2 linked regions of the Tamandua tetradactyla genome follow. The protein of the gene in region 1 binds, or shares a complex with, the protein of each later gene. Links are inferred from orthologs where the notes say so. Each region holds a gene or a part of one and is shown in the gene's direction. Other genes may lie near its edges. The genes, in order: UPF3B and MAGOHB.

Region 1 (15,580 bases):
ATGGTCCCACTGATGTGAACCGACATTCCAGAATAAACTTGGAATATGTCATTGGTAACAGAGACCAGCAGGAGTTAGAAACAGGGTAAGATAATGCGTAATTGGAGCTGAAGGGATACAGACTGTGCAACAGGACTAGATACAAAAACTCAAAAATGGACAGCACAATAATACCTAATTGTAAAGTAATCATGTTAAAACATTGAATGAAGCTGCAACTGAGCTATAGGTTTTTTTTTTACTATTATTATTACTTTTATTTTTTTCTCTATATTAACGTTCTATATCTTTTTCTGTTGTGTTGCTAGTTCTTCTAAACTGATGCAAATGTACTAAGAAACGATGATCATGCATCTATGTGATGATGTTAAGAATTACTGATTGCATATGTAGAATGGTATGATTTCTAAATGTTGGGTTAATTTCTTTTTTTCCGTTAATTAATAAAAAAAAACCCAAAAAAAACAAAACAACAAAAATAAATAAATAAATAAATAAATAAAAACACCTCCCTACCTTGTATCATTTACAAAAATTAACTCAAAGTGGATCAATGACCTAAATATAAGAGTTCAAACTATAAAACTCTTAGAAGAAAACATAGGGGAAATATCTTCATCTTCAGGACCTTTTATTAGGTGATAGATTCTTAGACTTTACACCAAAGCATTAGAAACAAAAGAAAAATAGATAAATAGGACTTCATCAAAATTAGAAACCTTTGTGCATCATAGGACATTACCAAAAAAATGAAAAGACAACCTACAGAACAGGAGAAAATCTTTGGAAACCATGTATCTGATAAGGGTTGATATCCAGAATATATAAAGTACTTTTACAATGAACCAACAAAAAGAGAACCCAATTTAAAAATGGGTTAAAAGTATCAGTGGTGTTTCTGAAGTGTTTTCATAGTTCTCTTCAGAAATAGTTAAATATTGTGCTTTTCAGAGCTTCAGAGAAGGGAGATTCAGGATTGGGGGGACTATCTATTTGTATTGGGCCAGCCTAGATGATATTGGCAACCAAGGTTTTATTAGGGTTTCTGTGCATATAGTGTAGTAAAGAAGTATCATTCAGGGGTGAAAAACAAAGAGCATTTTATCAGTGTTGAGAATATCTGGCCATTCTATAGCCTTTTTCTTCTCTTCCCAAAGAAATCCTGTTCCCTAACTTTGAAACTGTTGGGATGGGGCATTCCTTTAGGACCAACGAAAACATAATGTTGGAGTCAGTGATATATTTGGCTGACACTGGCTCAGTATTCTCTCAGGTCATTATATTCTCTCATATACAGTTACAGGAAATTAAAATGTTTAAGTAATGTAAAATGAGTCAGGCCAATAAAATCAAGGGAAATACAAGTTGAATTCCATTACTTCTGTAGATGCTTGCAGCATGCTGCCCACCAGTCCGTGCACTGTTCTGACACTTTACCTAGAAGGAAGACATGTACAGAAGTCATAGAGGCATGAGTAGAGTAAGTGTTAAGGATGATAGTCACGTGTCTTTGCTCTTTATGCCTTATGCTTAAGTCTGGTTTAAATCTTTTGTACCTTGCTAATGGTGGTATAAAGTGTGGGATAGTGTCATAACCAGTTTGACGATTTATTAATCACAAAATAACAATAAATCTCTAGCTTTTAAAAAAAAAGTATCAGTGGCAGAGAGAGCAAAGTATCAGTGGCAGAGAGAGTTCAAATAGAGTCAAGGTCGCTCTTACGCAAGCTTCAGGTAGACTTTGCTACCTATCATAACCTGCCAACCCCCAACCAGGACCATTCCAGCCAATCCTAAAGAACACCTAGAGCAATATATAAGATTCTACAAGGGTTCCAGGCACTAGAGTAACTTTCCAGAAACCTACAACCTCCACATAGGTCCCCGGTCCAGATAAGTCCTGAAACCTAGCCCAGCCTCTCTAGAACATCAGATAATTCCATTTCCCTACCCCGTATTAGTGACAGACCCTTCCAATATCAAAAATTTAGAATTGCCATAGTCTAAACAACCCTAAAGAGAGAGATGGAAAGATCAAAGGTGATGGTAGAATTATACAAAGAAGATAGGATTTAATAAATGAGTATAAATGCTGAATCATTAGATTGCTATCTCTTTTAGTCTCCAGTATTTTAGAGCAGCTAGAAGCAAAAACCTAAAATTGTAGAATTGTAACCCATGTCAAACTCTGAAATATGTTCTACAACTAATTGTAGTGCTGTGCTTTGAAATTTATAGCTTTTTTGGAGATATGTTAATTTTCACAAACAAAGGAAAAAATTTTGATTGTGATGATAAAAAAAAAATTAAGCCCTCTAGCCTCCTATATTCTGGAGCAGCTAGAAAAAAAATATGAGAGGATCATATGGTAGCCCTTGACAAACTCAGGGACCTGTCCTGTAATCATTTGTGGAAGAATGCTTTGAAAACTATTGTTTTTTATTTCTTTGTTTTGCATACATGTTATACTATACAATAAAAAGTTAAAAATCAAAAGAAAAAATGGGCTAAAAACTTGAATAGATGTTTCTCCAAAGGAGTTCTATACATGGCATAAGCACATGAAAAGATGTTTAATATCATTATTCATCAGGGAAATGCAAATCAAGCCACAATGAGATACCACTTCACCCACTGGGATGGCTATTATTAATAAATAAATAACAAGTGTTGGCGAGGATGTGAAGAAATAGGAACCCTCATACATTGTTGATGGGTATGTAGAATGGTGCAGCCACTGTGGAAAACAGTCTGGGGGTTCCTCAGAAAGCTAATTATAATTATAGAATTAAAAGATGATCTGGCAATTCCACTACTAGGTACATAATTGCAAGGTTAAGTAAAAGCAGACACTCAAAAAGATATCTGTATAGCAATGTTAATAGAAGCATTATTCACAACAGCCAAAAGGTGGAAGCAACCCAAGTGTCCATCAACAGATGAATGAATAAACAAAATGTGGTATATACATAAAATAGATTATTCAGTCATGAAAGGAAATGAAGTCTGAAACATGCTACAACATGGATGAACCTTGAAAACGTTATGCTAAGTGACAGAAGCCAGACATGAAAGGATAAATATAATATTTATCCACTTATATGAAATATCTAGAATAAGTAAATTTATAAACACAAAAAGTAAATTAGAGGCTACCAGGAGTTGGGAGAATGGGAATTAGCAGTTATTATGTAATGGGTACAGAGTTTCTGTTTTGGGTGATGAAAAAAATTTGGTAATGTATAGTAGTGATGGTAGCACAATACAGTAAATATAATTAATGTCACTAAATTGTATATTTAAAAACGGTTAAAATGGCAAATTTTATGTTAGGCATATGTCTCACAATAAAATTTTTTTTATTAATTAAAATTTTTTGAAAAAATACAACAAACACAAACATTCTTAACTTATGATCATTCCATTCTACATATATCATCAGTAATTCACAATATCGTCACATAGTTGCATATTCATCATCATGATAATTTCTTAGAACATTTGCATTAATTCAGAAAAAGAAATAAAAAGAAAACAGAAAAAATTCATACATACCATTCCCCTTACCTCTCCCTTTCACTGATCACTGGCATTTCAATCTAAATTTATTTTAACATTTGTTCCCCCTATTATTTATTTCTATTACATATGTGCTACTCGTCTGTTGATAAGGTAATAAAAGGAGCATGAGACACAAGGTTTTCACAATCACACAATCACATTGTGAAAGCTATATCATTATATGATCATCTTCAAGAAACATGGCTACTGGAACACAGCTCTACATTTTCAGGCAGCTCCCTCCAGCCTCTCCATTACATCTTGAATAACAAGGTGATATCTATTTAATACATAAGTATAACCTCCAGGATAACCTCTCGACTCTGTTTGGAATCTCTCAGCCATTGACACTTTGTCTCATTTCACTCTTCCCCCTTTTGGTCGAGAAGGTTTTCTCAATCCCTTGATGCTGAGTCTCAGCTCATTCTAGGATTTCTGTCCCACGTGGCCAGGAAGGTCCACACCCCTGAGAGTCATGTCTCATGTAGACAGGCGGAGGGCAGTGCGTTTGCTTGTTGTGTTGGCTGGAGAGAGAGGCCACATCTGAGCAACAAAAGAGGTTCTCTTGGGGGTGACTCTTAGGCCTAATTTTAAATAGGTTTGACCTATCCTTTGTGGGGTTAAGTTTCATATGAACAAACCCCAAGACTGGGGACTCAGCCTATTGCTTTGGTTGTCCCCATTGCTTGTTCTCACGATAAAAATTTAAAACAAAAATCAAACTACAAAGAGATACCACTACACACCCACTAGACAATAACAAGTGTTGGCAAAGGTGTGATTCAATTTGGACTCTCAACACACTGCTTCTAAGAGTGTTAACTGGTATAACCATTTTGGAAAACTGTTTAGCAGTATCTACTAGAGCTGAGCATATGCTTATGCTATGATGGAGCAATTCCCCTCCTGGGTATGTATTCAACAGAAATGCATACATATCATCACCAAAAGACATGTACTAGAATGTTCACAGCAGCACTATTTGTAACAGCCACAAACAGTGGAATGGTTAAATTGTGGTCGATTCATACAACGGAATACCAAAGCAATGAAAATGAACAATTCACATCTCCATACAATAACACAGATAAATCTCATAGTTGTAAATATTGAAAGAACCCCAACAATAAAAGAATGCATTCTGTATGAGTCATTTTACATCAAGTACAAAAACATGCAAAATTAATCAGCAATGTTAGAAGTAAGGAGGTGGTATTCTTGGTGGGGGGAGTGATGGGGAAGAGGCACTAAAGAAGCTTCTGGAATCCTGGCAATATTTTGTTTCAATCTCAAAACTAGTTACATGAGTGTGTTCACCTTGTGAAAATTCATCAAGCTATACACTTATTACTTGGGCACTTGTCTATACATGTGTTATACTTTAGTTAAAAGTTTAATTACCACAACTTCTCTAATAAAAAATTTTAAAAGTTTAATTAAAAAGAAAGTTTACAGTGTTTGATATGCATAATAATGCTGCAGTACCAACATCACCCAAGATGTCCACATCCTATTCCCTGGAACTGTGACTATGTTAGGTTACATGGCAAAGGGCATTTATGGTTGCAGGTGTTATTAAGATTACTAATTGACTATTAAAATAGGGAGATTAGCCTGGATTATCCAGGTGAGACCAATATACTCAGAGTTCCCTAAAGTGGATGGTGGAGGCAGAAAAGAGGATCATGGAAAGAGACATGATAACAGAAGCAGGGTTAGAAAGATGTTATGTTGCTAGTTTTGGAGACGGATGAAGGGGCCACAAATCAATGAAAATGAGTAAAATCTCAAGAATCTGGAAAAGACAAAGAAATCAAGGAAGTAGATTCACTCCTAAAGCCTACAGAAAGGAACTCAGTCATGCCAACACCTTGATTTTAGCCCAATGAGACCCACTCTTTCAGTTTGCTAAAGCTGCCAGAATGCAATATACCAGAAATGGATTGGCTTTTAAAATGGGGATTCATTAATTACAACCTATAGTTTTAATTTACAGTTCTAAGGCCATGAAAATGTCCCAATTAAGGCATCAACAGGATGACACCTGACTCTGAAGACAGGCCACTGGCATCTGGGAAACCTCTGCACATGGGAAGGTACATGGCCGGCGTCTGTTAGTCCTTCTCTCCTGGGTTTTACTGCTTCCAGCTTCTGGCTTCAGTGGCTTCCTCTCTGAGCTTCTGTAGGTCTTCTCTTAACTTCCCTGCGGGTTTTCTCTATGAAATTCTCTGGGTTTTTTTCTGTCATTTCTCTCCTAAAGGAGTCTAGCAAAAGGATTAAGACCCACATTTAACGGGTTGGGTCACATCTCTATTGAAAAACCCTAATCAACAGGTCCCACCTACAAGAACATAGGAACGTCATTACTGCAGGGTGTTGAAAATTGATAGTAATTAATATTTTAAAATTTTAACTATGTGTCACACTATAGCAAAAAATGTTTTGGTACAAAATTTATATTTTGACTAGTGCATTTCCTAATATAACTTATGTAGATGGCTTAATTGAATACCGTAAGTACATGGAACCCTGAGTAGGGCATGATATTTTGTTGGTTTGTCCAGAGTGATGCCCCGATAAATCCCAGAGTGATTTTAACAGTGAATAAAAAAGTATGTGCAAAGTCCCCTTCGAGGAATGGTGAGAAAGGGGGAAAATTCAACTTCCCCAAGTTGAATTCTTGATATTCTCACAAGCAGTGAGGACAACCAAAGCTATAGGCTGAGCCCCCAATCTTGGGGTTTGTCCATATGAAACTTAACCCCACAAAAGATAGGTCAAGTCTACTTAAAATTAGGCCTAAGAGTCACGCCCAGGAGAACCTCTTTTGTTGCTCAGATGTGGCCTCTCTCTCTAGCCAACACAACAAGCAAACTCTCTGCCCTCCCCCTGTCTACGAGGGACATGACTCTCAAAGGTGTGGACCTTCCTGGCAACGTGGGACAGAAATAATAGAATGAGCTGGGACTCAGCATCAAGGGATTGAGAAAACCTTCTTGACCAAAATGGGTAAGAGTGAAATGAGACAAAGTGTCAATGGCTGAGAGATTCCAAACAGAGTTGAGAGGTTATCCTGGAGGTTATTCTTACGGATTAAATACATATCACCTTAAGATGTAATGGAGAGGCTAGAAGGAACTGTCTGAAAATGTAGAGCTGTGTTCTAGTAGCCATGTTTCTTGAAGATGATCGTATAATGAAACAGCTTTCACAATGTGACTGTGTGATTGGGAAAACCTTGTTTCTGATGCTCCTTTTATCTATCTTATCAACAGACGAGTAAAACATATGAAATAAAAATAAATAATCGGGGGAACAAATGTTAAAATTTAGATTGAAATGCTAGTGATCAATGAAAGGGAGGGGTAAGGAGTATGGCATGTATGAATTTTTCTATTCCTTTTTCTTTTTCTGAATTGATGCAAATGTTCTAAGAAATGATCATGATGATAAATATGCAACTATGTGATGATACTGTGAATTAATGATTTATATATGTTGAATGGAATGATCATATGTTAAGAATATTTGTGTTTCTTTCTTGTCATATCTTTTCTAAAAATTTAAAAATTAATTGAAAAAAAAGTCCCACCTACAACAGGTCTGCACCCAAAGGAATGGATTAAAAGAGCATGGCCTTTTCTGGGGTACATAACAGCTTCAAACTAGCACACCCATGTTGGACTTTCAACCTACAGAACCACAAGATAAATTTGTGATATTTTAACCCATTAAGTTTGTGATAATTTGCTACGGCAACACTAGGACTAACACAATTGGTGTGGGGGAAGATCAAGTGTTATGTTTTGGATGTTGTGATGTTTTAGAGCTATGTAACCAAGAAAAATATTCTTAAACTTAATCCATTCCTGTGGGTATGAATTGTTGTATATAGAAATGTTTGATGAGGTTTTTTCAATTAAGGTGTGGCCCAGCTGAATCAGTATGGGTCTTAACCCTATCACTGAAAGCCTTAAATGGACGGTTACAGAAAGAGAGATAGCCAGAGGGAGCAGCCAAAAGCTGAAAGTCAATGGAACCCAGAAGAGAAAGGAGAAGCCAGGAGAGTCTGCCATATGCATTGCCATGTGACAGAAAAGCCAAGGTCCAAGCATTGCAGGCAGCAGCAAACAACTCCAGTCTTCTGGGAGAAAGCATTGCATTAATAACACCTCAATTAAGACTTCTCTTAACCTCAAACCATAAGCCACCAAATTCCAATTGTTTACGATAACCCATTGAATTGTATTTGCTTTAGCAACAAGGAAACCGAAACAAATGTGTTCAGAGATACTGGAGACATTAGATACCCAAGAGGAGATGTCAAGTAAACAATTCGCTATGAGTCTGGAATTCAGAGAGAGAGATACACAGTGGATATATACATTTAGAGTTGTCAGAAGACTGGATAAGCTCAACAAAGGAGTATCGATAGAAAAGAGTTCTAAGGACCGAGCCCTGGGACACTCTATTTCCAATAACTGATATGTAACTGGTGGTTTAAAGCTAATGAGCATTCAAAATGGGGGTATACACCAAGATGTAAGTGCAGAGTTATGGAGGATGTCAAAGGAATATACTTAAGCAAGGCTTATAAGAACAGGCAGGTATTGAAAGCAAAAGTGCAAAACAGGCCACAAATTCAGGGAAACAGTCTTTGCAACAGGCATTAGGAACTCAGCATAGGCTGGGAAATAGGGGTGGGAAAATTTTAGTACAGATCTGAATAATATATTCTAGACATTAGCAAAAGTAGGAATTTGGTACTGAGCCAACTTTCTGCTTTGGGCTCCTAATGTATCCTTAAGTTGGTATCCTGCCTTATGTGAATATCTGTGTATCTCTCTAGCTTATCATTTGTTTTCTCTTCCATTTCTCCCCTTTTTCCCTAAATGTTTTCCCTTGTACCTGGCAATCACTGATCTGGTTTCTATCACTACAATTTTGCCCTTCTTTAGAATTTCATGTAAGTGGAATCATACAGCATGTCCTCATGTCCTCTCTTTGCGTCTGCATTCTTTTACTTAGCATACTTAGCTTGAGATTCATCAATTCTGATGCGTGATATCAGTTCGTTTTGTTGCGGTGTATTTCCTCGTACCAACGCACTTTTTTTTTTTAATCATTCATCACTTGACCGACACTGGACTCTCTCCAGTTTGGGTCTATTAAGAATAATGTAGGGAACAAATGTTAAAATAAATTTAGTTTGAAATGCTAGTGATCAATGAAAGGGAGGGGTAAGGGGTATGGTATGTATAAAATTTTTTTCTGTTTTTGTTTTATTTCTTTTTCTGAATAGATGCAAATGTTCCAAGAAATGAGTATGATGATGAATATGCAACTATGTGATGATATTGTGAATTACTGATTATATATGTAGAACGGAATGATCAAAATAGGAATGTTTGTGTTTGTTAGGTGTTTTTTGGTATTTAAAAAAATAAAATAAAATAATTTAAAAAAAGAATAATGTATAATTGACTTTTTTTAACTGAGGAGGGTTACCCCAACTAAGTCAAAGTAGGTTTTACTTTATTTTTTCCTCCTTGTGAGGCATCAATACAATAATAGAATCCTTTCTTAAATTATAAACGAGTGATGAAAACAAATCTCACATATTTTAGTCATATTAAATCCTTCATATACCAAATCTTATGAGTATTTATTAAGTATCTGGGAATCAGCTATGGATCCTAATCAATATAAGGAAAATACTGAAGTTTCTGAAAGTACACTTCAGAATATCAAGAAAATACAAGCCGTTCCCGTAGCAAGGCAAATTTTGGATAACACTGGATTTATACGAGGAAAACAAAGCTAAGTGCAGCCCGCAGAACCTATATCTTTCAAGATTAAAGGATTGGATTTACTTACAAATAGGGACCCTGGCCTCTCTCAACCAGAAGGGGCAACTGCTTTGTATGCCGGGACTTGTAGTTTTCGAAAGAGTCTTTTTATTTAAGACGGTGGTGTTAGCCAATCCTGTGCGAAGGAGCGGGCCCCAAGGGAGTCTGGGATATGACAGGATTCGGCCGTGCGAGAAGTAAGCACCAGGTGTTGAAACTTTTCTTCGGAGGGAAGCCTGGTGCATGAAATCTCGCGAGGTCTTGGCACTGCCCAATCAAACGAGCGGCGGAGCTCGTAACTAGGGGCATTGTTGGGGGCGGAGCTCTGACGGGAGCTGGGCTGGCTTCGTTAGGTTCCCGGCGCAGCAGCGTTCTGGCGGAGCAGATCTGTGAAGAGCGTAGCCGTGGCCATGAAGGAAGAAAAGGAGCATAGGCCGAAGGAGAAGCGGGTAACCCTGCTAACGCCGCCGGGGGCTACCGGCAGCAGCTGTGGGACTTTGGGGGACAGTGCCAAGGGAGAAGATAAGCTGGATCGCAGTAAGGAGAAGAAAGAGGCAATGAGCAAGGTACTCGGTCGACTGTTGGCCGGGGAGAGGGCGGAACGCCCCGCCGCCAGTGGATGATGGCTGGGAATGGGGGTGCCCTCTTCATCTCCTCGTCCCCCTCTTCCTCCCTCGCCTGAATGAAAATCGCACCACAGTGCCTCATCCACTTGCTCGAAATGAGGGGAGGGGGGAGCTCCTACCGGCCAAGCCCGGCCGTGGGAATGAGGAAAAAGGGGGGCTCCCCAGACGAGAAGGGTTTAGGTCAAACCTGTGAGATGATAATTATGAAGTGAGACGGTGCGCGACAGTGAGGAGAATCGGAAATTTAAAAGTTTATTGAGGAAAATTATTAGGAAGTGAAGGGAACATCAGGTGCGGGAGTAGCCTGTGATAGCAATATTAATGGAAGCGAGTTGGGGAAGAGTGTAGGGGGAATTAATGGTCTGTGGAAGGCGAATGGGGAGCATCTTATTTCGGGGGCAGTGGTGTGAATGTTTTCATGCTCGTTAGAGTTTGAATTCATTGAATTGAATGAAGGATTTTGTTTTAGGAGGTGTTAGATGTGGGAGAGAAAGATTAATGAATCAAGAGTCCTTGGCACCCACAAAAGACCAGGGTTGACTTACTGATTTACCACTAGACCTGTTGAAAAATGGGTAATAGAAAAATGGTGCGTAAACCTAGAATACCGCGGGACTGCGAGTTAAGAGCAGACTCTAAGATTTTCCTAATGCCAAGCGGTTCTCATTTGTAGGAATTTTTTTAAAACCGCCTTACTATTATGTTTGACTAATTCTGATCGTTAGGCTACAGAAAATATTTTCTCCTGGGTTTTTGTAAGTAATGACTTTTAAATCTCATCCTTCCTTAGGGATTATGATTCCTTCAGGATTGACAGGAAATTGATTTTTACTAATTCCTTTATTCATTTTTTTAAGGTGGTGATTCGGAGATTACCTCCCACTTTGACCAAGGAGCAGCTTCAGGAACATCTTCAGCCTATGCCAGAGCATGATTATTTTGAGTTTTTTTCTAATGATACTAGGTAAAAAAAAAAAAAGTGGGATGGGGTGGTAAATTAGAAAAAGATTTCTTCTGTTCTTTGCATTCTACTAATATTTTCAATTTGATTTTTGAAACTGTCTCTTTATTTAATGTACATATACTTGTAATTCAACCAGATACCCACCAGTTTATTAACACAATTGCTTTCCTCTCTGCAGTCTGTATCCTCATATGTATGCCAGAGCATACATCAACTTTAAAAACCAAGAGGACATTATTTTATTCAGGGATCGCTTTGATGGTTATGTATTCCTTGACAATAAAGGTGAGCATATCCTCAGTGCCTTCATAGCGTTTCTAAAATCCTGGGTGGTAAAATATACAACATTTAAAAAGTTTTACACATGTGAAAACCTTATTGCAGTCTTTTAAATATATATGTGATTTTTCACAGCCCTTGAGTATTTTTATTGATCTGTTATTTCTGTGGTTTGATCACCTGCATGAAATTGCCACCAATTTTTTTTCATACAATAAATTTTGTGCCCTGGATTACATAACGTTATTTGGATTATTTACTAGTCTCAACAGCAGTACTGATAAATGACTCTTTGAACTTGTAAGACAAGTTTTATATATTTACTTATCATCTTGCTTCAAGGACCAACATTTATTTAATTATTTAATTCAAATCCCTTATAGCCCATAGTTTCCAGTTAGAATACTGTTTAATGTATTCTACATGCAACACAGAATTCTCCCTATTTTGTATGTAATTAAGACATGAAATTTGATGATGTTCCTCTTTGTACCCAGGAGGATCCAATCTATAGGGAAGAAACATTTTCACCTTAGCTTTCTTTTTATTATCTGCTGCTTATAAGCTATAGATAGGGAATGTCTAAACTGCCATTGGTCACTTTTCCTTTAGTTCTGCAATCCTAGGTAAATGGAGTGTCGTTTGTTTTGTTTTTTCGGTATTATTTCAAAGTTGATAAAAAGTCATTCTTGAATGAGCTGGGACTCAGCATCAAGGAATTGAGAAAACCTTCTCGACCAAAAGGGGGAAGAGTGAAATGAGACAAAATAAAGTGTCAGTGGCTGAGAGATTACAAACAGAGTCAAGAGGCTATCCTGGAGGTTATTCTTATATTAAATAGATATCACCTTTTTAGTTAAGATGTTAATGGAGAAGCTGGAGGGAACTGCCTGAAAGTGTGGAGCAGTGCTCCAGTAGCCATGTTTCTTTAAGATGATAGAGCTTTTGCAATGTAACTGTGTGATTGTGAAAACCTTGTGTCTGAAACTCCTTTTATCTACCTTATCAACAGATGAGAAAAATATATTAACTAAAAATAAATAAATAATAGGGGGAACAAATGTTAAAATAAATTTAGTAGATTGAAATGCTAGTGATCAATGAAAGGGAGGGGTATGGGGTATGGTATGTTTGAATTTTTTTCTGTTTTCTTTTTAATTCTTTTTCTGAATTGATGCAAATGTTCCAAGAAATGATCATGATAATGAATATACAACTATGTGATGATATTGTGAGTTATTGATTATATAACAAGAATGGAATAATCATATGGTAAAAAAATTTTCATTCTTTATCAGCAAATATGCCAGTAAAAGTTGGATTGCTAACTGTGTTTGGCCAACTTTTATTAATACCCCAAACCAGCTGCTTCTTTATTCCAGTATATAGTAATGATTTCCTAATCATTTAGCCTGATCTGAATTGTGTTTAACTTTTCTTCCTTTTTCATCCCTTACATTTAAATAAATGATGAATTTTGTCAATTCTTGATTTTTTTGATGCAGACTTAAACTTTCACACTTTATGACATTTTTTTTTCATGTAGACTTACACTTTCACGGTTTATGTCTTCATCTAATGCTTGGACAATCACTGCCTCTAAACTTGTAGAATTTTCCATTTATATATAACTCAGTCTATTATATTACCAGGAAATTAATCTTTTTGAAAATACTGATTTTAAGATATAGCAATCATATAAAAAAAAAGTCCAGGGCGGGCCAGGGTGGCTCAGCAGGCAGAGTTCTCCCTGCCATGCCGGTGCCTGCCCATGCAAAAAAAAAAAAAAAAAAAAAAGTTCAAACTCCTTAACTTGGTATTCAGGATCCCCCGTGGTCTAAACTCCCTTCTGGTGTTTTTTTGAGCCTATCTTCAGTTTCCCTCTGCTACAGAATGGTCTCTATCCTCTCCTAAAATATAACACAGTTATTAACCTAATCTGATTCTACATTCACTAGGATTTCCAGAATCATGTTTTTTCCATGACTGCTTTGTGATGCCTCCTGGCCAATTCTTGTTATTTCATTCTGGCTTGCCTCTATGCCAGTGATCTAAAGATAATATCTTATACCTTGTGCGACACTGTTCTCTGATTGGGAACTGATACATATTTTTTACATAACAACTTTATTGAGATTCTTACATATAAACTCACCCTTTTAAAGTATACAGTTCAGTGGTTTTTAGTATATTCACAGGGCTGTGCAGCCATCACTGTAACCTAATTTTAGAAACCATTCATCAACCCCACAAAGAAACCCCATATACTTTAGCTGTTAGTCTCTATTCTCCTCACCCCTCCCCCAGTTCTAGACAATCACTAATCTACTCTCTGTTTCTATAGCTGTACCTATTCTGGATATTTCTGATTTTTTTTTATTGAAAATTAGATTGTATTTAGGTTTCACATATCAAAATATCACATTTTAGAAGTTGAATTTAAATAAATATTTTTTCTTTCCTGGCACATTTTTTTCATTATGTTGTCAGTGTGACATTTGGACTCCTCTGATACCATATTGACTCTAGTTGTGTCAGTGTGTTTTATGCTCATTGAGAGGTGTCATCAAAGAGGCCCTAGAAAACTGTGGGTTGACTCACTTGTATCCACTTTTGACATTTTCTTTGTTATAGCAGGTGTGTTGTTTTCCTTTTTCTAAATAGGTCAAGAATATCCTGCTATAGTAGAATTTGCCCCCTTTCAAAAAGCTGCAAAAAAGAAGACTAAGAAAAGAGATACCAAAGTTGGGACTATTGATGATGGTACGCTATAGCTATAGTTATGTAATGCTATTGCCGTGTTTTTGTTTTTTTTTAATATTACCTTTGTGAAAGCTAGTTAGACCCCAGTACTTTGCATAAGAAAGTATACTGAATAAAATTAATGAGAAATGTTTGCCAAAGGAGGTGTTTTTAATTGTTAGAATGGAGATAGGTTTCCTGCAAAGAGTTTCCACTCTCTTTTGCTGGTGGCATTTCAGTCTCCATAATCAAGTAGTATAGTATTAATTATTGAGTTGCAAACCACCATAAGTCTATTGATTAGAAGACAATGGAAAAAATCAAATGTTTCAAAGTATAACAGCTGTTTCTTGAGATCTCTTAACATTTTCATGATTGACGTTTAGTTTTCATTATCCTTATATAAGTAAAAGGTGTATTATTGAGAGCCATGATGGAAAATTTTCCATGTCTGAATAACTTAATATAAAGCAGCTGAAGTGGTCAATCCTATTTCTAGGCTTTGACTGTGCAGTTACCTACAATAATTAGGTTGAACTGACGTATAGGAAATGACAAACAGGAATAACTGCCATTTAAGGTAAAGCTCTCTGTAACCAGTTTTTTCTGTTCTTTGGATAAGGCCTTGGCCCCGATATTTTATATCAGATTGATATTTTAGAATTATCTTGTTTGATGTCTCATTCACTTCTGTAACTGGTATTTTATAAAGAAAACACAATAAGGACCAAATAACACACAGCCACTTACTGATTATATCATGTATTCAGATCCAGAAGTCTGGATCAAGTGACATGCTCAACAGTGCATAGAAAGTCCAAATAAAAGCAATATAATGACTCAGATGTGTTACTCTTTCTGATATTAGGTGTCTAAGGAAAACTCCAAGAATTATCATCACTTCCGGTGCCACATCTAGGATTTCCCCATGATTTATCTTTTAGGGACACTTGGTTTTCATGTTAAGTTCACTTACAGTGGGATATACCCATGTAGGGATTGCTTACATGCAATGTTTAATACCCTCTGAAGATCCTGTGGCTATACCTTTTAGTTCTCCTGTAAGTGGGATTAGTAGGAACAATGACATTTAAAAGGAAATTATATGACATGCCTAGTGTGTCTGTTATAAAGCATGATGTCTCATTTTCCCTGATACCTGTGTTATACAAAACTCTCATGGTAGGTATCAGTAATTGGAGTTCTGAGAATAAGTCCTCAGTAAAATTTAGTCTATCTTGTATGGATATGATTTGATGTATTTTCCAATCTTTTATGAAGTAGAAAATTATCTTCTTTGATACATAAGTATCCTAGATAATATTCCTTATTTTGTTTAAAGTCTGCTTTTCTGTTTTCTTTATTGATTATTTAGATCCAGAGTATAGAAAGTTTTTGGAAAGTTATGCTGCAGATAATGAGAAAATGACTTCTACTCCAGAGACATTGCTAGAGGAAATAGAAGCAAAAAATAGAGAATTAATAGGTAAGTAGGTAAAAGGAATTAAGGGCAACAGCTTTTTCTCAGAATACCTATGTCTGGCTCCTACTTCCATTCA
Region 2 (15,393 bases), on another chromosome or scaffold:
GGCAAATTGTTGATCTTTTCTGTACATTGCTTCCTTATGTTAAAGTAGAAATAATAATGATACCACCTTAAAGTTATTGTGAGGCTCGAATGAAATAATACATTTAAGTCTCATTATCATGCTTTACATATAACAAATTCTTGGTAAATGTTAGAAGCATTATTAAAGTAATAGCATTTACAAAGTCTCACTGATGCATGTGTGAATGTGGGAAACATATTAGATTGAGGTTTATGAGGGAAGATTTTATAGAGGAATTGAGGTTTAAACCAGCCCTGTAGAAAATGGTAGCCAGGAGAGGTTATTCAAAGAACTGGGTATGGCACAAGCAAAGGCAAGTTTGGGCACTGGTAACCACATCTAGGGCATGGCAAGAGATTGATATAACTGGAGGAGAGGAGAGGCAGCTAGGCAGGGCCAATAAGGTAGAGAAGCTAGAGGGGAAGATGTAGACTTCATATGGTAAGCAATGGGAAACCACTGTAGGTTCTTGAGCAAGAATGGGATATGATAAAAAGTGTTTCAAAACAGATTACACTATACATTGTCTGAAGGCCAGACTGAAGAAAAGATAGATTAAAAGTGGATGTAATTTTATTTTAAGGCAACTTCCTAGAGAAGTTAGACTTTAAGTCAAAGTATAAAGAAGGAAAATGACCTAGATTCATTGAAAGAAGAATCTGATCACATTATTTGAGATTACTATAAATCACATTATTCCATAACTTCTTATTTTTCTGGTTGTAATGTTGCTTTTCCTGGTAGATAAGTTATAGCGATTGTCTGGAATGTTGCAAGTTAATAACAGCAAAGACGAGAATATTCAATTTCTGTAACAGTGATTGGCTGTAGAGTGAAAACGCTCTTCTGTCACAGTGGCTGTGGTTTGAAAAATTTTGAGTCCTTATAAAATGAGTCAGTTGAAAATATAATATTAAGAGAGGATGAGAAGGAATGTCATTAGTCTCTGGAAAGAATATGAGGGACAGAGCAAAGAGAAGTAAATTAGTGAATTGCACACTATTTTGTTAAGGCTTGTTGGGAAAGGATCATGTTCCGCATATACTTTTTTTTTTTTTCCTTTGCTAAGGAAGTCAGTTTCTCTTGTTTCCTTTTCAGGTATAGTCTTATGAAGTCCTGCTGGCGCTGGAGTGAGGACAGCCGCCCTTCACCTGGAGAGCTTCGTTTGCGCCTAGAAACTGCTGCTCGAACTGCCAATGACAAGGCTGTATTGCAAGTACCAGAGTTAGTGGTACCTGAACTGTATGCTGCTGTGGCGGGCATCAGTGTGGAGAGACTTTCTTACAACTACAGCATCCTTTGAGGACCCTTCAGGAAGAAACAGTTATGATTGATCATATACTCTTGGAACCAGTTACAGAAAGTGGACTTTCTAGTGGGACATAAAGGGAGAAATGGGACATGGGCCCTGGGTCTTCACCCAACATTTCCCTAGAGACCTGAAATGATGCTCACTGAAGCTGTCCACCATACCTTGAGGCTGAAAAATAATGTCAGCTTCATTTTTTCTAGCCCAATTCTTAAAACCTTCTTAAAGATCCAGGATAAAAGTGGTGGATAGTGTCACTGCAAAGGAGGTTTAGGGAATCTGCAGTATTTGTTGGGGCATGGCACAAATAAGCTGTTTTCTTCCAGCTTACTTTCCTCCTGAAGCATGCTTTTATCTAGACTATTATAAGAGAAGCTGGAATCAAGTAAGGGAACTGGAAGCCAATGAAGGAATTGGAGAGAAATAAAATTAAAGGTTTTCTTTGCTGGAGAATATAGGTGTGGAGCAAAGCCATCCTTTGAAGAGTAGGTGGGGAGGAAGGACATTAAGTTCTTCAGTCCAGGTCCCTACTTCTTGGGATAGAGAATAACCAAGAAGGAAAACTCCTGAGTTTCCTCTTGGGTATAAAAAAAGAGAAAGATGGTCCCTTTTATCTAATTCTAAAACAGAAGAATACTGTTGGTACTGCTTTTAACTAGAAGGTTGGAGGAATCGATTCATGAATAACATTTGACACGTATTGTTCAGCAGGCAAACTTCCTGGTCCCTGTAAGATTAAGGGGACTGAACTTAAAGAGTCAAAGTTGACAGTGATGAAAATGCTGTTTGTGTGCTTCATAATTAGGAAATGTGGAAACTAAGTCAGAAAGCTTAGAAGGTCTTTTAAAAGGGATAGAAAAGGATGCAATCAGAGAAGGAGGTAGGATGGCTTTTAATTTCTAGTCACCTGTTGATGTACTGTGAACCATTTCATTAAATAAATATTTATTGAAATAATAATATTTGACAGCAGCCAAAGTCTCTAGAGATGATAAAAGTAAATAAATGGATTTTATATCAATAGAAAATTTGAAGAGACAACTTATTTTGTCAACAAAGGGATTCCTTATGTGTAAAATGGGCACAATACCTACCCCTCACAGGGTTTTGTGAGGAATGGATGAGCGTGTATACTGTATACATTATCTGGTACATAATATATGCTAAATACATGTTAGTTTCCTCACTTTCCCCATTACTGTCCCTAAACTTTTCTTATCTTTTTCATTTAAAATCTGCCAAGGCTAAGAAGAGAACCTTAGTCTGTCAGCCACACCACAAGGCAGGCCATGCCTACAAATGATGATACACATACCACGATTAAAATGATGAAGTCATCTTTTTAATGTGAACTTCTGAATGGTAATAATAGTTGCCTACTATTTCAAAATATTGGAAATAGCATGATAAAAAAAATTCAGTAGAACATGGTGATCCTGATTTTAAAGAATACTCTAGGTACTCTAGGAGTGACACCTAAGACTCCTACAGGGAAAATGACAGGCAGTGGTAAACTTTTTAGAAGTTGGAATCCTGACAATGTCATGAGTCGGCTAACCGAGTAATGATGCTGGCACCTGCTGAAACACCACAATGACTACAATGTCAGGATTTAAATGGGTGGAAGTAGCAGTAGCGAGAAGGAAGGTAGAGCATCTTAGCACATAATAAGAATGTCCTCTGGAATCCCATTGTTGCTTCTCAGCAGTTCACTTAAGTCAAATTTAGGGAGTATTTATTCAAATTTTTTTTAAAAAAATTGAGTCCTAGGGCCCACTACACCAAATACTTGCTAGGTATGATGAGATAAAAGAAATAGAGCACTTTTGATTATAGTCAAGAGTAGAGACATTATATATTTATTTGTGTAGATATCTGTTTATTATAAATCAGTGCTAAGTTCTATGAAGAATACAGTATAGAATGGGGATCTCCATGAAGAAATAGTATTTAAACTGAAGACTTAGATATGGGTAAGTAAGCCAGACAAAAACAGGAAGGGCTGTGTGTATGAAATCCTGAAGTAAAAAAAAGCATAGTTGGTTTAAGCAAATGCAAGAAACAAGTGTAGTCCAAGCCTGGTGAATTAGGGAGAAAGTGGCAAAAGCTAAAATGGGGTACTGCTTTTTCACACTGTATCTTTGCATTTGTTTTGGTAGGAGGGAAAGAAGCAGATAATTGCTCTTTTAAATTTTTATTTCTAATTTTATTTTATTTTTCTAGTTATAGGTTTGTGAAACTGGACACAGTAATTTTTTACTCTAAGAAACCTTGGTCTTTAGCTCACATGGCCAAGTTTTTTCCAAAACAGTGATTATATTTCTGGCATCTTTGACCTGTCAACCAAATGAATGGAAATTAACGGAGGATGATGAATGGAAAAAGTTATTAAAATACTTACTATTTAATTCAAGTTAGGATATGTTTTGCTGTTTTGAGTCCTGCCTCCTCCAATCTTGTTTGCTCAATCTATGCTTTATTGTTAAGAAATTTCCAACAATCCTGGGAACTGTGAAAATATCTACTTGGATACTGTAACTAATGGAAACTTGATAACATAGTTTAATTTGGAATAGTCTGAACCAATAGTTCTCAAATTATGCTCATGAAGATATTAGTATCCTTACATTAGATTTAGGGTATTCTGCTGTTAAACTTGAATAATAGTGGGGATTTTTCACTGTTTTTAAAAAGAAAAAATAAGTTAATGGATAGAATTTTATTAATCTTAACATTGCTGTTATATATGTATAAAATTCTGGACTAACATAACTCACTTAAATAATTCAAGTACTGAAAGATCCAGACCAGGCCTATGCTTAATTCAACAGACTCTTTCGTTGTTGTTTTGGACACAAGAATTAGCAGTTATGATACATGTTAGAAGCATTCAATATCATCATACACTAGAAAACAATTCCTAGTTTGAATAATGGAGTTAAATATATCATGCCATGATAATCTAGAATAGCTGCAAGTGCTCATAATATATGAATGAGCATATCTGAGAAAGAACGGTGTGGAAATTTTGTTTTTTCTGCATGACAGTGGCTCTCTTAGTTAAAAAGTAATACCACTGAGTGGTTAAAAAGACAGATATGGTTAAAATTCTATAGGAAGACTATTTCAGAAGACAAGGGTAGACAGACGGATAAAGGACTATTCAAAAGTGATTGATAAAATAAAGAAAACTGAGAGTAAAACTACCACCCCCAATGTTTATCACAGGAAAGTTAGCCCATGTTTCTGAAAATTGAAAATAGGAATGATTTGATAATTTGAAATAGGTATAAAGACAAAAAAAAAAAAAAGGAGGGGAGGACAGTGGGGATATGAAAAACCGATCAAAGGAAGAGAGAATTTTAGATGTAGGAGAAATCAGAACATTTTAAAGAATAAATTTGTAATGATAAAGAATCATCTCTGACCCCGGCCCCCTTACCTGAAAGCAAAAATTAAAACAAACAAAACACACACACAGACAAAAAAACTGTAGCAGGAAAGAATTATTTTGCCAATTTTAAAGTTGTGTATTATTTGATTAAATCATTTCTTTTCAATTTTCATTGAAATTGGAAATCACGTGCTTATTTCCTAATACCTCACAAGGGTGCTTTGATTTCTTTTTCCCTTTTTCGGAAGTGCAGGGTCCGGGAATTGAACCCAGGGCTCCAGGATGGTAGGAAGAATTCTTCATCAATTAATCTTGCACCATCCTCATGTAGGTGCTTTGAAGCTGACCAAAGATAGGTTGTGTTAGCAAAGCTGAAAACAGCAGTCCAAATGAAAGACTTTTATTTGCCTTCATTTAAGCAGCCCAAACATTTATTTTCATAAGTAAATTGTGGTGATACCAGTAAGTATGCCGCAATGTGAAGCCTAGAGCTACTGAGATTTAAACACACTCACAAAATGCTTTCACTATTCCCAGCCCAAGTAAAAATGTAAAAAGAAAAAAAGGGCTTTATACAAGTGCACTGTCCATCATGCTAGCCAGATGTGGCTACTTAAACATTAATTTAGATGAACAAAAATTTTTAAATATTTAAAAATTAAAAATTCAGTTCCTCAGTCACACTAGCTACATTTCAAGTGCTGTCTACACAGAACATTTCCACATTGTTGTTGGGTAACATCTGAGAAGACTACAAAACACAAATGCTTTAGTCACTTTGCAATCTTTATCATGATTAGAGAAATACATATTTTAGCTTTGCTATTTTGGTTAAAATATGAAGAGCTGAGTAAATATATTTTCATATTATATCATAAAAACAGGTAGAGCTAGAGGGGATTAGTCTTGAGCCTAAAAGCCTTTCTAGGAGGGTAAAAACCAAAACTGGCCCATTGACAAAGACCTTAAATCTTTGCATATTCCATGAGCTTTATTTACATAGTCAAAAATTCTAGTATCCATAGCTCTCTTTAAGTAGACATGAAGAGGAATACTGGCACATAGACTAAAAATTTGAAGGAAACAGATTAGGAAATCTAAAGACAATGAACGAGGTTTCCCATAGAAACTAAATTGCTTTAGTTTTCTTGGCTGCTCAAAGAAATACCATGTAATGCGTTGGCTTAGACAATGGGAACTTATTGACTCATGGTTTTAGTCCGGAAGTCCAAATCTATGCTTTATTGTTATCAAGGTATCATCATGGTGACGTTTTCTTCCCCTAGAGTGGCCTTCAAGGGATGGCTGCTGGTGATCCTTGGTCCTTGGCGCCTGCATCACACAGCAATGCACATGGTGGTCTCTTCTGAAGGCTTCTGACCTTCAACTTCTTGCTTTCTATTTGTCTGAATTTCATTCTACTTATAAAAGACTCCAGTAATAGGATTAAGACCCATCCTGATAGAGTTGGAACATACTTTAACTGAAGTAACTTCCTCAAAAGGTCCTACTTACAATGGGTTCATACCCAGAGGAACAGATTAATTTTAAAAACATATTCTTCTGGTTGCATAGCTCCAAATTACCACATAAATAAATGGATTACAGTAAATATTTCAGAGTTGTATTGAATATTGTGGTTAAATTTCAGTGGGTTATTCATGTGGTAAGTACAATGACCACATCATCTTTGTCTGGGATCTCACAGGTTTTAAAACTGAAAGTTTTGACATCCTAGCAAACCTTACAGGCTGGACAAACTGGACTGGTTTGTCACTGTAGTGGTTAGGGATGGTGCCTTATGTTTCTTATGTATTTTCCATAATGGTGGCCTATAGTAGTTCATACCAAGTAAAATTTCTATAGAAACAGTTATATAGTAACACCTTATTTATAAGGTCCAACATACCTTGGCCCAGTCTGTCTTTCTAGTTATTCTACTTCAGAGAATCTTATGTTCTAGGTATACTGCATTTCTTGGATTCTCCAACACCAAGTATTTTCATAACACTGTGCCTTTGCCCAGGCCATATCATCCCACTGAAGACACACTGAAGTTATCTGTCAATGTCCAATTAAAATAGCACACCTTTTCACAAGCCTTCCTTGATACCTTTCTTCAGCTTCCTCTCTCTGCAATACACTTGCTCCTCTCCTGCACTATCAGCATATTTTTCCACAAATTTTTAATATAGCAGTTGCTTCCTTGTGCTAATACCTTTCTCCATGTTTGTTTTCTCTTCTAGACTACAAGTGCAAAAGTCTTTCTTTTTATTTCTGACAAATAAGAAAATGCTTGTTAAAATGCATTACGTAGTATTTTATAAATTTCAAAGCTTATTCGCACACATTATCTCATTTACTCCAATCAACAATTTCATGAGTTTGGCAAAGCTTGTTTGTAGTACACCTGTTTCCTTGATGAACATACAGTGATTTGAACAAGTTAGAACTACTAACTTGAACTAGGTAGTAGTTCTGTTGGGATTGAATCTCAGGTCTTCGGACTGCTACTCTTTCCATGAAATTCCAGTGAAGGTTAAGGGTCATCTGACACATAACTGTTCGTAACAGAAGGTTGTCCAATATCAGAAAACCAGACTTTGTGTAAAAGCTCACCTTGTCTTTTCCATCTTCAAAACTACCTCACAGTAGAACTTACCTTCACTTTCTCAATTTATTTTTATCAATTTTATATCTATCTATATGAGAAACCTGGATTAAACCGTTATTTGATCTTGAGTCAAACTGCCAAAACTCCATAGGTCACTAAAGGTTAACAGTTACACAGTGAATGAAGCATCTAAGAAGTTTCTACTATTAAAGGAACTCTTTTATTCCAAGGCTGTCAGAATTTTCAGTTTCAATATGTTTTTCAAAACTTCAGACATCTCCTCAGAGGGCTACTTCTATACTTTGTGTCTCTATTACAGGCGTCCGTCTCCAGGAAAACTAACAATCATCGTTCAAAAGGAAAACCCGGTGTTAGGAATCACGTAGAGAAAGTTGTTGTATGACGAATTTCCCATCGACTCTGGGTTTTATCTTCACTCACTTAACCAGTTAAAATTGGGTAAAGCCACATCCACCGCCTACAACTGCGCGAGACTTGAGACCAGAATAAAGCGACTTGCAATCCTTAGCACTAAGCGCACACACAAAAAACCAGTACCGTATTTTCATACTTTCGTCTTCTGCTAATATGACAAAATCCGTTTAATTTTTAAAATAGCGTACTTCCGATCTCCGCAAAGCAGTTCAAGTCACTTTTGACCTGCCTTTGCTCTCTCCGGAGCCTCTCCCACGAGACACAGCCATTGTTCTTGCCTTCGCAGAATCTGCGAGGCGGAAGCGCGGCGACCACGATGACGCGCTAATCCGGGGCGATTGACGTCACTCCCAGGCGCCGGACGGCACGTTGCCCAGGCCTTCTGCCGGCTTCCCGGAAACAAAAATGTCTCTAGCCAGCGATTTCTACCTACGCTACTACGTAGGGCACAAAGGCAAATTTGGACACGAGTTTCTGGAGTTTGAGTTTCGGCCGGATGGTGAGTGGGCTGGGGGGGGGCTGCTGGCACTGCAACTCTGCGGGGGTGTCGGGAAAGGGGAAGCCAGGAGAAGAGGCGGCGAAGGACTAGGGGTGTGGGGTGGAGCGAGCAAGCCGCGGTGGACTTGAAAGTGTTCTGTGGCAGCTGAAGCCGCTGCTTGAGCCGAAGTAAGTAGCTGAAGAATATAGGAAGCCTAAGTTGATTCTTGTGACTAAAAGGATTAATTGGTGTGAGTTCAGAAAAGCTAATACTGTCACACACTGAAAAGTTGAATCAGTGGTATTCAGAATCCTAGAATCCGTGTGGCAGAAGGTCTAATACTTGGGCAGTTATAACAACACCCTACCCAGCGGTGGGCCTGTGTATGCTTAAAATTTTCCAGTGACTGATTACTTTTCGTTCTCCCCATTCATTCACTTTTTTTCATTCAGGCAGTGTGTGTAAAGCAGCAGGTCAAGAAAGAAATGACACCTGCTCTGAAGGGGAGAGTCCCCGAAGTGTATACAGAAGAGTGAAATGATGTGTTTGGGGTTCGATTGTCTACCACAGTAGTACGTTAGGAATTCAGACATGAAAAGTGATTAGTGATTAGCTCTATCTGATGAGGGTCAGAAAAAGCTTCCTAGAAATGAGTTTTGGAATAAGAGTAGGTATTTTCATGACCTTTGAGGGAGATAGTCCAGACTACCAAAACAGTATGAGTAGAGGGCGAGGTGAAACTCCCAGCACTCACGAAATGTACAGCAAATTTGATCTCTTGACTGCACAAACTCTTTTAAAGTGCTTTATTGCGTATTGAACTCTGCCTGCCTGTCACAGGACAGTTCAACTGGATTAGATTTTTCCTTTTTGAATGCATATTATGTGTTGGGGCAAAGTGTCATATACAGAAATTGAGAATACTGTAATGGTAAGACTCTTTAATTGCCTTCAATGAGTTGTGTCTTGGTAAAAGACACAGAAATGAAACAGACCATACAGCAGTATGGATAAGAAGTGCTGTAATCATGCTTTGGAAAAGGTTCTACGAAAGCATGAAAGAAAAATTAGGGAGAGGGTCACATATTAGGAAAGGGGAAGAGTATAGACATTTCAGGCAGGAATCTAGGTAACTATTGCTCTGCAGATGAGAAACCCTTATTACCTTATTCAGGCTTGTTTTCCCCATATCTTTTCCAAATTTAGCTAAGGAGGTAAAGGAGCTGAATTCTTCACCTATTTATTCCTTAACATGATACAGTTTTCACAGTATCCTCACCTGTGACCACCATCCAGCATTTCAATATCACTTTTACTCAGTTACATAAATGAAGTACCCTGAGGCTATTAGGGAATTTTCATCCCAGAACAGTGCTTCTTATCCATTTACCTGCTGTCAAACCATTCTACATACTTCCATCAGTAACAATGACTCGCAAAGACAGTACCTAAAGGATACACCTCAGTAGGGTACCCTATTACCATTAAATGCAGATGATCAAGACAAAATTTGCTTCTGTACCTGGTCAACGAGTTGGCAATGAGAAGTGTGCATCAGGGAATATGAAAGTCATGATGTGTTAAAATTAAATATAAACCAGCCAACAAACTAGTCAACTTCTGTATGGGAGCTTTGTGTAGTCTGTATACTTTCTAGTCACAATTCTAAAGCATTAGTATTGCCATATTTATAATTACATTTACGTTGAAGGAAAATAATTAAAAGAACATTTTGAAGTAGTGGAGAAAGCATGAGTATAGGAAGACAGTATATATAAATTTGAATATTGTGTGACCATGGGCAAGTTACTTTGTTTACTCACCTGTGAATAGAGGTAATAAAACCTTTCTAAGGTTTGCTTTTAGATTCGATTAGATGTGCTAAGTTAAACCACTTAGCACCAGTTCAGATTTATAACCTGAAAAATAAATGTTAGTACCTTTTCCAAAATCCTTTGCTAATTTGTGATAGCTAGGAAAAGGGGCCTTAAAAATGACCCTTTTGTCATATATTGTAGGAATGGAATATTTAAAAATTTGGCTAGCTTCAGCCAACTTACCCACAGATATTTATTGAGCATCTTTTTCACCAAGCATGAAGGAGGAAATAATAATAAAATAGCAGCATAAAATGGTCTTTACCTTCAAAATTGCTTACAATATTTTTTTAGCCTTTTCTGCTGTTACAGATTGAATTTTTTTCTTTTCCCATAGGAAAGCTTAGATATGCCAACAACAGCAATTACAAAAATGATGTTATGATCAGAAAAGAGGTAAGTTCTTTTTAAATATCTAATTCTTATATTTAGTTCATTTTAAAAAAAATTTTATTAATAAAACCAGTAAACACACAATGTGAACATTCTTTTTTCTCTTGTCACATAGTTGTATATTCATCATGATCATTTTTAGAACATTTGCATCAATTCAGAAAAAAGAAGAAGACAACAGAAAAAAATTCATACATACCATACCCCTCCCTTTCATTTTTGTATTTCAATCTACTAAATTTATTTTAACATTTGTTCCCCCTATTTATTTATTTTTAAACCGTATGTTTTACTTATCTGTCCATAAGGTAGATAAAAAAAAAGCATCAGACACCAGGTTTTCACAATCACACAGTCACATTGCTAAAGCTATATCATTATACAATCATCTTCAAGAAACATGGCTACTGGAACATGGCTCTGCATTTTCAGGTAGTTCCCTCTAGCCTCTCTGTTATACCTTAACTAAAAAGGTGATATCTATTTAATGTCTAACAATAACTTCCAGGGATAACCTCTCAACTCTCTTTGGAATCTTTCAGCCATTGACACTTTACTTTGTCTCGTTTCTCTCTTCCCTCTTTGGGTCAAGAAGGTTTTCTCAATCCCTTGGTGCTGAGTACCTTGGTGCTGAGTACCTTTCTGTCCCACATAGAAAGGAAGGTCCACGCCCTTGGGAGTCATGTCCCACGTAGAGAGGGGGAGAGCAGTGAGTCTGCTTGTTGTGTTGGCTGAGAGAGAGGCCACATCTGAGCAACAAAAGAGGTTCTCTTGGGGGTAACTCTTAGGCCTAATATTAAGTAGGCTTAGCCTATCCTTTGCAGAGTTCAGTTTCATATGAACAAACCCTAAGATTGTGGTTAGCTCATTTTTTTCATGTATTTATTGAAGCTACGAAAGTACATCTAAGGCTGTTTGTTGTAAAGAAGAAGCAACTTTATAGATTAAGAAGAGATTCAATTTAAATGAGATAACCATAACGTCTGTAATAACAAAAGAAGCAATCTAAATATATTAAGTAGTCCACATTTGAATATAGCATGTAATTCATTTTACTATTAACTTTGTCTTTTTGCTCTATTAATGATTTAAAACCAATTATAATGATTTAAAAATAGTATTAATTTTAAATCAGAGGCTCAAAAGTTAGGTGTAGGAATAAGTTTGGAGCACTGACTGTGATGTGTCCTTGGCATTTGCCTCTGTTCTCCCATAAACCACTCTGAAATTGAGTCCCCATGTTTCAAAGGCAGAATTTTAAAGGGAGATTTAAAAAGAGGGCTGGGGATAAAAGAGAGAAAATATAAATTAAAGGAAAGGGCTGGAGAGTGAAGACAAATAAGAAAAGTGAATGATTACCATTCTGTACTTTTGGAATCAGAATTAATTTTTTTTCTATGATATTTTATTTGAATATTCAGTGTTTATAACCCCTTTTTATTATTTCTTTCTCAGTTGTGGAAAAAAATAGGCAGCCATCATGAAATTTTTATTGTAACTTATTTTCAGGCATATGTACATAAGAGTGTAATGGAAGAACTGAAGAGAATTATTGATGACAGTGAAATTACAAAAGAAGATGATGCTTTGTGGCCTCCCCCTGACAGGGTTGGCAGACAGGTTTGTATTTAGTAGAGATATTAATGCAGAAATATTAAAAATTGATAGTATGTTTCCCTTAGAATCATTCCTCATTGATCCTTTGATTTTCCATTTTCTGTCCTATATCTTAGTAGTAAAGGAATAAATGCTTAGCTCTATTTTTAGACATCTTACTCCTTAGTCTCTCTGTAGACACCCCAGCCAAAATTAGAATATTTTCATACTGTTGTGAATAATTTATATTGTATGTTAACCGCTTTTATTAGGAATAGCTACAAGTGTTGCTTATTCTATTTGAGACTTATGATTCTCTTTGAGTATATAAAATTCACTTTTTCCAAATTTATAACTTTCAGAATTCTTATCTGCATCCTTTACCCAGAGAGGGATTTGATTGCTTTCTTTGTTCAAACTGACTATTGCCTTTATCTCTCATATTCTCTTTAGAATAACTGATATTTCTCCAAGGGCTTCTGAAGAACTTTGAAGGCCTAATTTCACTCTGTGAAAAGACAGTTTGGTTTCTAAATCGGGTCTTTTCAACTCTTGGAGAAATGAGGTACCACCTTTGGAAGGAAGAAACATTTAAGTTCACTCTTATCTATTCCTGAGGAGTATGCTTTATATTACCTCCTTTGACTAGAAGAAAATGTGGAGAAATCTAACAGATACTGACATTTTGTAACAGTAAATTAACTCTTCTATTTAAAGAAACAGTATTTAGGAACACAAAGGTAATATTAATAGTATTTATTTTATGCAGTGTAACATTTTTGAAAGTAAAACTAGACTTCAGTTTGTTTCATGTACATATGTACTAAAAAACAGAAACGAAACAGCAACAAACTTTTCGTATATTTTAGACTCAGGGAGAGCCCAATATTTCATCTGTCCACTTGCTGTTATGTATTCACATATTTTTGTTAGCTGGGAAGAATGGGCATGCTTCAGAAATTATCAGTTGGATCATTCAGTCAAGTATTTTATGATTGTTTGAGAGTCTAGTTAATTCTCCATTTGATATTTGCTACAAAGTGTAAATAATTAGGTTTGTTGATCAGTATATACCTAGGGCTGTCTCTGATGGCATCTGTTTGTCAGTTTGACTGGAAAACTAGCTATAGACATAGCCTCTTAATTAATGATTTCAGATTTACAGACAGACAGTATAGAGAAAAACTTATATAATTATGGCATGTTAGAATCATCTATCTTGTATTATATTTGTTAATTTTTAATTTTAATTGTTTTATAAACTCAAAAGAGTGTGGGTCTTTTGAGTCTTAGTCTCTTGGGTTCAAATATCAGTACCATTACTTACCAGTGGTTGTAAATAGCAATTTTTTTCTGTACTTTTTGAATCTTGGATTTCATATTTATAAAATTAGATGAATAAAACCTATCTAATAAGGATATTTTAAGGATTACAGCAAATGTTTACAAAGTCCCTAGTACCAGGGTCTGACAGTAGGTACAAAAGTGTAGATATTATTATTTTTGTAGAGCCTGCTAAAAAGGGAAAATGTGTGTATGGTTTTTATTTTGGGGGGGAGGGTGAAATATGCCATGTAAGAGCCAAATTTGTTGAAAACTTATGATTGTTGATAGCATTTAATAAGGGCTGTAATGTGCTGAATTTATTTTAATAATAGGTTTATACTCATATACTTATTTTTATAACCTTGTACTTCACAGTGATGCCTTTAGTTTTTGTTAACATTACAAGAAAGATTTTTGTGTTATTAAGTATTTTAATAATTTCATTATTATATAATAATATGTGTACATTATAGTACCCTTGTTATGAAGACTGTGAGAAGCAATTCTTGCTTGGTCTTATAATTGGGATTAGTGCTCTTAACAGTTGATTTGGTTTTTTTTACGGATGTCATTTTATGAATAACAGAACAAGTTTCTCTTTTTCTTCCTGAATGACTGCTAGAAAACTTGGAGCCTGAATTGGAACCTCTTTGTAACAGATATACAGATATCTCTGGAATAGACTTTTTTTTCTATTAATTGCATTTTTGGGTCTATTTAATTTTTTTTCAGGAGCTTGAAATTGTAATTGGAGATGAACACATTTCTTTTACTACGTCAAAAATAGGTTCTCTTATTGACGTAAATCAGTCAAAGTAAGTATGTTAAGCACTTCGGATAAATTAACATAATCTGTTAGACTCCTTTTGGAACTATAGCCAATTTATTTGCTAAGATTTTTACTTCACTGACATCATATCACTTTATTATGTAGATCTTTTTCATTTTTATGTTATTAAAGACTTATCCTTTCTGTCAGAATATTTTACAGATTTCCAAAAAAAGTCTGAATTCAATAACTAAGTACATTAGATGAGTACAAATTTTATTAGCTATTTCATGTAAAAATCTGGAGATATTGTCACAAAACTTAAAGAAAAATCCATATTTAATTATATCAGCCATTTAAAACCCACATCATAATGCTCTCTTACTGAGTGGGGTTCAGTACTTGAAAGAAGGGGGAAAAATCCAGTATACCTGAACTATACCTTGAGTACCCAGGTCTTCCCAAGTTTTCTGGGTTTTTGAAAAATCTCCTCTTGGTCTCCAGCCATTTCTTCCTGTCCATTCTCCTCAAAATGCCTTCATAGTGCTTGCTTTTTCTGACACGCTATATTTGTCAGCTTTACTGATTTCTTTAATGTTCTAAGAGAACCTTGCTCTGTCTTTAAAGTTAGTACAGTGCCTGGCACATAATCGGTGCTTGATAAATATTTGTTAGAGGAAAAGAGGAAGGAATGGATGCATAATAACTGTTGGACACAAAGGCCATGTTCATAAAGACCAATTAGATGATTTTAAACTATTTTTTAATGCATTTATTTTCTCAGTTTGTGAGGATGTGGCATTTATATCCTGCTGGCAGGAATGTAAATTGCTGCAGTGCTTTTGGAAAACAATTTGGGAATGTGCATTAATAACTTAACATTTTTCATGCATTTTGGCCTAGTAATTTTGTTTCTGGAAATCTATACTAGGGAAACATTTTCAAATATTGGGAAAGTTTTGTGAGACAAAAAGATAGATGTTCATTGAAGCATAATTTATAATTGGAAAAGTCTAAATGTGTAACAAGGAGTGGATTGTTAACTAAAAAATATCAGTGAGAAAATATAAGAAAATGGTGTAGAAAGGGCACAGGGAATAACTTCAGTTATGAGAAAAAAATAGAGAACCATATCAAAGTATAGCATTCCCTGAGAGAGTTTTATTATTATAATATATATG

What was found.
Region 2: UPF3B (region 1) and MAGOHB share a complex: the UniProt entries of both Homo sapiens proteins name them as parts of the mRNA splicing-dependent exon junction complex. The link is inferred for Tamandua tetradactyla from reciprocal best matches to the Homo sapiens genes UPF3B and MAGOHB.

What each region holds. Positions count from the first base shown.
Region 1 is NC_135353.1:46,948,685-46,964,264, forward strand, and holds the start of UPF3B (regulator of nonsense transcripts 3B), read left to right. Parts: upstream 1-9,656; 5' UTR 9,657-9,820; coding exon 9,821-9,976; intron 9,977-10,893; coding exon 10,894-11,000; intron 11,001-11,178; coding exon 11,179-11,285; intron 11,286-13,943; coding exon 13,944-14,042; intron 14,043-15,396; coding exon 15,397-15,507; intron 15,508-15,580. UniProt on the Homo sapiens protein: Involved in nonsense-mediated decay (NMD) of mRNAs containing premature stop codons by associating with the nuclear exon junction complex (EJC) and serving as link between the EJC core and NMD machinery.
Region 2 is NC_135333.1:73,220,879-73,236,271, reverse strand, and holds the start of MAGOHB (protein mago nashi homolog 2), read left to right. Parts: upstream 1-8,113; 5' UTR 8,114-8,178; coding exon 8,179-8,272; intron 8,273-10,465; coding exon 10,466-10,524; intron 10,525-12,030; coding exon 12,031-12,141; intron 12,142-14,175; coding exon 14,176-14,258; intron 14,259-15,393. Other genes in the region: tyrosine-protein kinase STYK1, read left to right, coding at 1,120-1,324. UniProt on the Homo sapiens protein: Required for pre-mRNA splicing as component of the spliceosome. Plays a redundant role with MAGOH in the exon junction complex and in the nonsense-mediated decay (NMD) pathway.